2 linked regions of the Schizosaccharomyces pombe genome follow. The protein of the gene in region 1 interacts with the protein of each later gene in a biochemical or structural test. Each region holds a gene or a part of one and is shown in the gene's direction. Other genes may lie near its edges.

Region 1 (5,098 bases):
TTTACATATAAATTGTGTCATATAACCTGCTAACCCAAGTGACAGCGAGAGAGTAAGGTGATGATGGAGTTTTGCGCAGTCTCGCACTTTTACCAAGGACCAAGTTAATCTTGCATTCTTCATATTCGTAAGCATTGTTGAATGCCTGATTATATACTATGAGTCAAACAGAAATAGTTAAAAAACCAAAGCATAAGAGATTTAAGCGCCCGTAAGTTGTCTTGATTACATTCGTTTTTTGGCAAATTGGTTTACTGATCCGTATGTAGTGACAAATCTCGGTTTGTTCAGCAAACACTTCCTGCTTGGCAGTTTATATTCACACCATGGACAGTCTTGCCGTTATTATTCTTATTAGGCATAGTGTTTGCTCCTTTGGGAGCTGGCATGTTTGTGGCCAGTCGACGGGTAAGTCTAAGCATCACGCGTTTCCATAGAGCTATATGTTTCAAATTGATAAACTGGGTATATTTTGCAATACATTACTGTATTTTGGAAAGATATGATTATTTGCGAATAATTTTTATCTGATTATAGCCTTATCCTTTGTCGGTGTTAGCACACGTGTAGCCCGAACGTTACCGAAAATATCATTTTTTCTAGATCATTTGCTAATCAACATTTTATTAGGTCAAAGAGCTGCGAATTGACTATACTGATTGCATGAATATAGGCGATGAGTTTAAACAAGTTCCTTCCACGAATATTGAGTTCCAATATAAAAATGTAAAAAATGTAACAGCGATGTGGAAATCATCAGGCGATGTATGTACTCTTCGTTTCCAAATACCTGAGGAAATGACGAGTCCCGTGTTTGCTTTTTATCGTCTCAAAAATTTTTATCAAAACCATCGTCGATATACTGTTAGCGCCGATATGTTTCAGTTGCTAGGCGAAGCACGAACTGTTGCACAACTGAAGAGCTATGGTTTCTGCAAGCCGTTAGAAGCAAATGAGGAAGGGAAACCTTATTACCCCTGTGGCATTATCGCAAACTCGCTTTTCAACGATAGCTATTCTTCTCTTCTACGATACGAATCCTTTGATAGCTCAAATTCCCTTGGACTTTACAATATGACTACAAATGGTACTGCGTGGCCGGAAGATAGAGAAAGATACAAAAAAACTAAGTACAATGCTTCCCAAATTGTTCCACCTCCAAATTGGGCAAAAATGTTTCCCAATGGATATACTGACGACAATATTCCCGATGTTTCTACATGGGATGCCTTTCAAATTTGGATGAGAGCTGCTGCTCTTCCAACATTCAGCAAACTTGCTCTTCGAAACGTTACTACTGCACTTCAACCTGGCATTTATGAAATGAATATCACTTATAACTTTCCTGTCACAGAATATAAAGGAACGAAAACTATTATGTTTTCAACAACATCCGTTATTGGAGGAAAGAACTACTTTTTAGGAATTCTTTATTTTGTTATCGGTGGGCTCTGCGCCGCGAGCGGTGTAATCCTTAGTATTGCTTGCTTGATCAAACCTAGACGCGTAGGCGATCCAAGATATCTATCTTGGAATAGAGGAAAAAGCTCATAAACGAATTTGAGTATCTTTACCATTTATTTTTACATATACTACTTCATGAACATTTTGGAATTTACTTTCCATTTAATCACTTATGCTAGCTTCGTCTTCCACTTACAATATTCTCTTTTTTATACCAGTTCAGGGTTCATGAACTTGCATCATAACTAAAGCATAACATAATCTGAATAAGACATTTTTTTTTAATCACGTTGTATGAATATCATATCGTATTTTCTTCTTTTACATTGAGAAAGCAATTTAAACGGCCCTTACTGTTAAATATCATAGTCAAGTCACAATTAAACGAATTGGGTTAACGTTTTTTAAATTACCAGATTATGGCAAGCACGTAAAATCGAAGCAGCTAAAATATGGGAACAAATCGTAGGGTGGTGGGAAAGACATCTTCCACCCCAGGTTTCTTGCTCATTTTTGGGCATTGGCTCGTCAAAAGATCTCGAGCTATTAAAAGCATTGTAAGAGAATTGAGAGCATGAACAATACCAATACTTCAAATCAATCGTAGTTTTATTATTCGAATCCACTTCACATTCCCATCGATGTAAAACTTCACCATCGGTTAATGGTAGTGGATGAATGCTTTTAGAATCCAAAATCAGCATAGCAGGTTGCCAGTAGTTACAAAATATAAAACTTAATGACAACCACAAGCTTCCAAAATCCTGGTCTTCCAACAGTAATTTTGACAAAGAGGTGTTGGGTGACTGTTGGAGCGCTTTATCTTGTAAAGAATCTAATAAAGAGCTTATAACTGAACGAATAGTGGAAGAAGGATCTAAATCTTTGTTACACAATGCCTTGGAGAAACTATCATTGTCAACGCCTTCAACATCAGGATCATTAGTGTGAGAAAATTTTGAAGATACAGGTAGAGATGAACTATTTAAAGTTTTACTGTGGTAACTATTCGAAGTAAAATGACCCTGCTGCATTGAAGTTTATTAAGACTCAGCAATGCCCCAAAACATAAAGCTCAAACAACATCCAGAAAACACAATTGATGACAATGAAGATAATAATCTAATTTATTGACTTATGCTGACAAGTTTGGATGATTGAATAGGCTCTTCAAAAAGATTAGCAAATTCGTTTCAAAGTATCACTACTTCTTTGTTCATCAACTCTTACCAAAAGCAAAACAGCAAAAATCTGCTTTGCTTTCGCTTGTTCTAATAAGCGGAAAACACGTAGCAAAGCTATAAACTAATGAAGTTGTAAAAATCACAAATTCGAGGGGTGTCTTTGTTTGCTCTAGTCAAGTATAGAAGATACAAAGTAGAGTTTAATCGTTAAAATTTTTAACTCGTTTTATTTTTCTTAACTAATATTTGCGAAAATAAAGAAAAAGGAACGAACGTTTTACAAGTTAATTTAAGTCGAAAACACTATTTCGAGCAGTTTCAGGAAAACCTCAAAAATCGGTTAGTTACAAAGGTTTCATTACTTGGGTGAAATTTAAAAGTTTTATAAACCAATTTCAAACTTTTTTATCTTTTTAAGAAAGGTGTCGCATATTTTAAAGGCTCGTGAATGGCGAGGACGGCGTTTCATGATGAATTTGTGGATTATTACACCATCCTTGGAGCGGAAAGTACCAGTAGTTATGTCGAAATTCGACAGCAATATTTAAAGCTTGTTTTACGATACCATCCCGATCGTAACCCCGGTCGGGAAGCCGAGGTTCTTCCACAGTTTCAGTTGATACAAAAAGCTCATGAAGTTTTAAAGGATCCAAAGCTTCGAGAGTTATTTGATCAAAGAAGATTACTAGAAGCCGGTCGCCCTGATGGGGTGCTGCGATTCCGTCCAAAAAAAAGTGGACCAAAGAATGATATTTCCACGAAAGTTGCATCCAAGGTTAGTGTCACAATGGCTACCAAATTTGCTGAAAAAAAGAAGAAACAAGACCGGGAAAACGTAGATTCGAAAGATAACAATATCACAAACTTCTCACTTCATCGATCTTTTTCCGCTTCCGGAAAAATGGAAAAGAACAATAGCTTTAAAGAGGTATCTACCTCAAAAAGCTACATATCATCTGGTTATTTGCATCCAAAAACGTCTCCAATTTTTAAGAAGAATGGATATGCTACTGAAAACGTGGTGGATCCAATTTCTAGTAGTCCTCGTTTTAAAGGCCCTAACTATAATAAATTTAATGCCAAGTTGTATTTAGAATCGCTTCGTGAAAAGCGACGCACCTATACTCCGTTGTCTGAGATATCCAATGGTTTGAATTCCAATGGTGTTGAAAATTCTTCAATAACAAAATCCTCTCCAAGAAGTTCTTCTTCATCAAATAATGAACGTTTTAAAGATACATCTGAAGAATCTATTATTTTTACTTCTCCAAACACTCCAGAGCACCCATCCGTTTATCAAACTGATATCACACCTGAAATAAAACTTGAGCATTCTGATAATAATTCACCATCAAAACCTGAAATTCCATTTAGACATCCCACTTCTAAACCTTTACCCCCTAAGCCCTTAAGTCGTTCTAAATCTTCTTCTCTTTCTCGAAATCAAACTCGGTCTCAGCTAAATGACTTGTCCGCAGAGAACGATTCAACATCTAACTCGACTGAGTATGATGACCAGCTTCAGTCGATACTGAGATCCCTTGCCATTGAAGGGGATGATGATGAAGTTGCTAAAGTGCTGCCCAAACCTCCATCCGTTCCAACTATCCAGGCACCCATCCCTCCAGAGGCACCGAGAAACCTGACTAATGCCTCTGTAGATAGCTATCTAAATTCCTTTGAAATGTATCAGAGACGCTGGTCGTCTTATTCTATCATTTATACACAGTATGCATTTCAATGGCAAATCTTCAAAAATAAATGCTTCCAACTCGACTTAATGAATACTCCTGGACAATCACGATTAATTGATAATTGGAAGGAAGGGTCACAAGCTATACAGTTATTTTATGCATATGAACAAATGCATTTGAGAGCTTTGGAAGAACTACAATCTTTAAAGGAAAGCCTTTTCGCATCTTTTGGTATATAATGATTATTATTTCCTCATTAAGTATTAAATTTAGTATTAAAATTTTTATTTGAAAATTTTATTTCTTCTTCATAACGTTTAACATTCAATTTATTAATATTATTTTTTACCCAGTTCACTTACCCATACTTCAAGCATACACCAGAACCAACGACTTTGTAAAAAGGGCATGTGTTTAATAGCTTACTCAGGGAGCGAATTGTAGCACGACTTTTCATTTTATTTTACATTACTCAGTTAATTTAAGATGAGACTTTTTGAAGGGGCTTTTCAGCCTTGGAAATTGGCGTCTACAAACTTGATGCAACAATGCCTTTTATTAAACAAAAAGTCTCAGTTTCATACAACATGCATTTTACAAGGTTTAAAAAAACAAAAAGCCAACCAACGTCGCAAACAAAATTTGAAAAGAAGGGAAGAGCTGCGAAAGCAAAATTTGGATACATTAGCTGACCCTATCATCGGACATTCGAGTGAATGGATAGCGAGATTATTAAAGCCGTACGAAATATTGGTG
Region 2 (4,867 bases), 180 kb from region 1:
TGCTGTGTTAGCTTCACACTCGGACAAGGTTGAATACCTATACCCTTCGATTGCACCTGAGCAAAAAGTCGCAGAAGTAGATCCTACCAAGGAGGCAAATACGTATCGAAAGTTTCGTGAGGTAGACGACTTAGTTTTATCTGGGATGAAGCGACTCATGAGTTCGACTGATAAAGTTTCAAGAAAAACGATGATTTCCGGAGCACTATCTAGAGCCCTTGCATATATCAATCAAGTTCAAAATAAAAATACTCTTCGTTCTCGAATTCTAATTTTCTCATTAACTGGTGATGTTGCTCTTCAGTATATTCCTACTATGAATTGTATATTTTGTGCTCAAAAGAAAAATATTCCAATTAACGTTTGCAACATTGAGGGAGGCACCCTGTTTTTAGAACAAGCAGCAGATGCCACAGGAGGGATTTACTTAAAAGTTGACAACCCCAAAGGCTTACTACAATATCTCATGATGTCGCTTTTTCCGGATCAAAATCTTCGAAAACACTTAAATACCCCAAACCAAGCGAATGTTGATTTTCGAGCTACATGTTTTTGCCACAAAAAGGTTTTGGATATTGGCTTTGTTTGCTCAGTTTGTCTATCAAGTAAGTAGTAACAAAGCTTTACGATAGGCTTTGAACATTTGACCTTTTGCTAACCTCTTTAGTATTTTGTGAACCACGGGTGCATTGTTCTACTTGTCATACCAAATTCACGGTAGAACCTATGTCAAAAAAATTGCACACTTGATAATTCGTTATATTATTATTAAACTATATATTTCTTTGTCTCACACCGGGTGTACAGCTTTATCATATTTGAAACCCTGTTTTTCATTACCTAAATCTCCTTATCCTGGTGATTTGTACAGTCTAGCTCTTTTTTTTTGGCGATTTTTACTTTCTGGCATTTTGATACACTTGAAATGTTAACATTTTTCGGAAGGATCAAACTATTTCCTTAAGGGGCATCCACAAGTAGAAACTTAACGTATAAGCAACTAATTCATTCCAACGTACCCTATTATTATTTATTTCCTTAGAGCTTCTTCTATTATTTCTTCAAGTTGCATTGGCTTCTTTCTTTTCCAAACAGTGCAGTAAGACGAAATTATATACTATTCTTTAATTAATTTACTAACGAATCATTAATGTTGAAGATGCTGACAGAAATTATTTCACAGGAACTTTCCTTTCTACTGTTTATAATCTATTGCATCTCTAATGTTGGTGCTTGATCATTTTAACAATGGCTTTTTTTAAGCTTTTTTAATCAGAAAAGTTATATTACATTGAGATCTATATGAATGCAATTTATAATGAATTGGTTTGATTATTGTAGTAAGGTTACGAATCTTGGTTTTTACATGTAACTCAACCTCTGAATTTCTGTACTGAGCAATAAAAGCGCGGATTGATAATTCATACTAATAGAGCCGGTTTACTTTTATTTGCCCGAATATTCTCAAACTCACAAGTGACGACAAGCTTGAAAAAAAAAAAGTATTTTCTTAAATTCGTTTATTCTGCAATCAGATATTCATAGTTTTTAAAAAAGGAAAAATAATAAAAAGGTTGTAATATATTTGTTCTAAATCTTCAGATTTCAGACGTAAATTAGTCTGATTAACCTTAGGAGCATTACAACCATTGCCTAATCTGTTGATAGATTCAATTACAAACTTCTGACATCCTGAATGTCTATTTTCCACTAATTTTAGAATTTTTGATTGACTGTGCTTTTTAACAGCTCTTTCCCGACTATATAGCGTTTTATTTCAGCAAGACCTCAACAACAAATTTATCATTAACCTTTACGCATAACTCAAATATATTTTGTGCATTTTTTTGTCGGTACTTTAACAAAAGGTCCTTATGTATGTTTTTGAAATAGTTTATTTGGGGTGAACAAATGTTTCGAACAACAAAGCGATATTTCTGCACCTCCTTCAATCGCCGGAAGAATGTCGTAGTGATAGGAGGTGGACACGCTGGCGTGGAAGCCGCTGCTGCTGCTTCTAGATTAGGTGCGAAAACTACTCTTTTAACAAAGTCCTTCGACAATATTGGACAAATGAGCTGTAATCCAGCTTTCGGTGGGATTGGAAAAGGAACACTAATGCGAGAAATAGATGCCTTGGGTGGTGTTGTCAGTGGTGTCTGCGATGAATCAGCAATTCAATTTCACATGTTGAACCGATCGAATGGACCAGCTGTATGGAGTCCCAGAGCACAAATGGATCGGTCGGTCTTCAAAAAAAATATGCAAAAAACTATTTCAACTTATAGAAAAAATCTTCAAGTTAGAGAAGGCGCGGCCGTCTCTATTAATGTTTTGACAGAAGACGATGGTAAACAAGTTTGTGATTCAATTGTTCTTGAAGATGGCACTGCTATTCCTGCCAGTTGTATAGTCATTACTACTGGTACTTTCTTAGGAGGACAAATAAATGTTGGTTTAACACAGTTAGCTGCTGGTCGATATGGCGAGCGACCTTCATTGCCTTTGAGTAAATGTCTTAGCAATTTAGGTTTTAAAATGGGTCGACTAAAAACAGGTACACCTCCCAGATTGAGCTCTCCCATAAATATATCAAAAATGACAGAGCAGACAGGTGACGAAATTCCAGAAACATTTAGTTTTTTAAATTTGGAAAGGGATTTTTCACCGGCATTGCCACAACGTTCTTGCTACAGAACTTATACAACTGAATTGACGCATGAAATTGTTAGGAAAAATCTCGCTTTTGCTCCCCATATGCTTGCTGGTGATATTCTTTCTCCAAGGTATTGCCCGTCATTGGAAGCCAAGGTTACAAGATTCCCTCACAAAGCAAGACATCTTATTTGGCTGGAACCGGAAGGATTGGACCCCAATTCTTGGTGGTATCCCAATGGTCTCAGTAACTCAATGCCTGAAGAAATTCAGCACAATATAATAAGGTCTATTCCAGGCCTGGAGAATTGTAATATTGTGAGACCAGCTTATGGAGTTATGTATGATTATGTTATCCCCACCCAACTAAAGGCAACACTGGAAACAAAAAAAATTCAGGGTTTGTACTTGGCCGGTCAAATAAATGGAACGACGGGTTATGAAGAAGCAGCAGCGCAAGGTATCTTAGCTGGCTTAAATGCAGGTTTAAGTGCTCTTGGTCGTGAGCCAGTAGACATACCGAGAAATACAGCTTTGCTTGGAGTAATGGTCGATGATCTTATTACAAAAGGTGTGAAAGAACCTTATAGGGTGTTCACTTCGAGAAGCGAGTATAGGTTAACTACACGTGCTGATAATGCTGATTTAAGATTGACTCCATTAGCTCAAAGTATAGGTTTATTGGACGACCAAACTCATTGGGAAAGCTTTCAAAGAACTAAATCTTTGTTAGATTTTTCCAATAAAATCGCCAAGGAGTTCATTTTAAGTCCTCAGCAATGGTCAAAGCTAGGAATGCCGATTCCTAATGACGGGAAATATAGAAGTGCTTGGGATCTGTTGAGCTTCACAAATTTGGATCTTTTTTGTGTTATTTCGTGCATTCCTAAACTAAAGGACATTCCCAAAAGGGTACTACAACGTTTAATAATTGAGGGAAAGTATACTTATTATATAAAGCGTCAAGGTACTCAAAATAAACAACTCAATTGTAGAGATGAATCTACAGTAATACCCTCAGATTTTGATTTTGATACTTTACATTCTGTTTCGGCTGAAGAATTAATGCTGCTGAAGACGATTCGTCCAGCTACAATTGGTCAACTGAAACGCATTCAAGGGATTAAACCAGGAACTATTATTCGACTACTTCGCCATACATATTACAACCCAGCAAAAGAGGCATGGTTACGAAAGGTATATATGCCAATGTATGATATGCATTCGAGCGAAGAAAACCAATCTACAAATTTATAACTCTCGACTTAATTTTCACTATATAATAGGATAAAATAATGATATGAATCTCATTTAAAAAATATTTGACAACCAAATACAATTTTTAATAAATGCTTCTCTATGAAAACATTTATTTTCTAAATTTACACCCAAATTTTTAAACAAAAACATCAAGAAAGTTGATTTCTGATGATTTTCATTTCATAAATATTAGATCACGTAACCATATGATTGAAGCACGCTTTGACCGTCGCCAGGAAGATGCGTGCTAATGATTTGAGATAAACGTCCACCCATATTTCTGTTAGCAAGATTCATTTCCGTAGCACAATACTGCTTAAGGTCAGTAATTTGAGGGAATGGATCAACCCTCTTTCCGCCAGTAGTAGCCAATCTGGAAAAGGAAGCTTGGAATGACATCGAATCAGCATCGATTTCGTCCATAAACAATTCTTCATCTGCATCTGTTTGAGCTTGTTCAATAGGCATTTCGAATAATTTGAGGATACAAGTTAATAATGGGATAATAAGATTCTCATAAATTGCGTCTGGGGCGAGTACTAGATCACAAGTAAGAAGTCGCAGTAATCCAAGAGCACTGATTTTCCTATCTAATGGAAGCGCCAATTTTTGTGCTTGAGGAAGAATAATTGAAGTCATCAATTGGCCAAATACTCCAGACTGGACTGCATCAACACCTTGGATCAAATTATCTGGGCCGCAAGTACCCGTTTGCTCAGAAGCAACAAAAAAGAAGAAAATCGTGCATCGCAGAACGAAACGCTCAGTCCTCGAGTTTTTTAATCTGCTTAACAGCAAAAAGAATATGTGGTTGATATAAGGCGCAAGTATGTTAGCATTGAAAACTGTGAAAACTCGGTCCAAGAGATCAAACCCAAAATGATCATTAACCTTTGAAGAAATCAATTTTTGGAAAATTCCCAAAACCGGTTCAACAAACTTATTGGAAATA

Evidence for each region.
Region 2: the proteins of rsp1 (region 1) and ips1 form a complex in vitro, tested with the Schizosaccharomyces pombe proteins (one study listed by BioGRID).

What each region holds. Positions count from the first base shown.
Region 1 is NC_003423.3:1,492,552-1,497,649, reverse strand, and holds rsp1 (random septum position protein, DNAJ domain protein Rsp1), read left to right. Parts: upstream 1-2,498; 5' UTR 2,499-3,096; coding exon 3,097-4,581; 3' UTR 4,582-4,598; downstream 4,599-5,098. Other genes in the region: aminophospholipid translocase regulatory protein Ivn1, read left to right, coding at 159-211, 270-408, 631-1,554; sws1 (SWIM domain-containing Srs2-interacting protein 1), read right to left, coding at 1,869-2,498; mrps28 (mitochondrial 37S ribosomal protein uS15m), read left to right, coding at 4,829-5,098. UniProt on the Schizosaccharomyces pombe protein: Has a role in the proper organization of the interphase microtubule cytoskeleton.
Region 2 is NC_003423.3:1,315,421-1,320,287, reverse strand, and holds ips1 (GIDA family tRNA uridine 5-carboxymethylaminomethyl modification enzyme), read left to right. Parts: upstream 1-1,793; 5' UTR 1,794-1,911; coding exon 1,912-3,912; 3' UTR 3,913-4,068; downstream 4,069-4,867. Other genes in the region: transcription factor TFIIH complex subunit Tfb4, read left to right, coding at 1-605, 668-750; karyopherin/importin beta family nuclear export signal receptor Kap109, read right to left, coding at 4,105-4,867.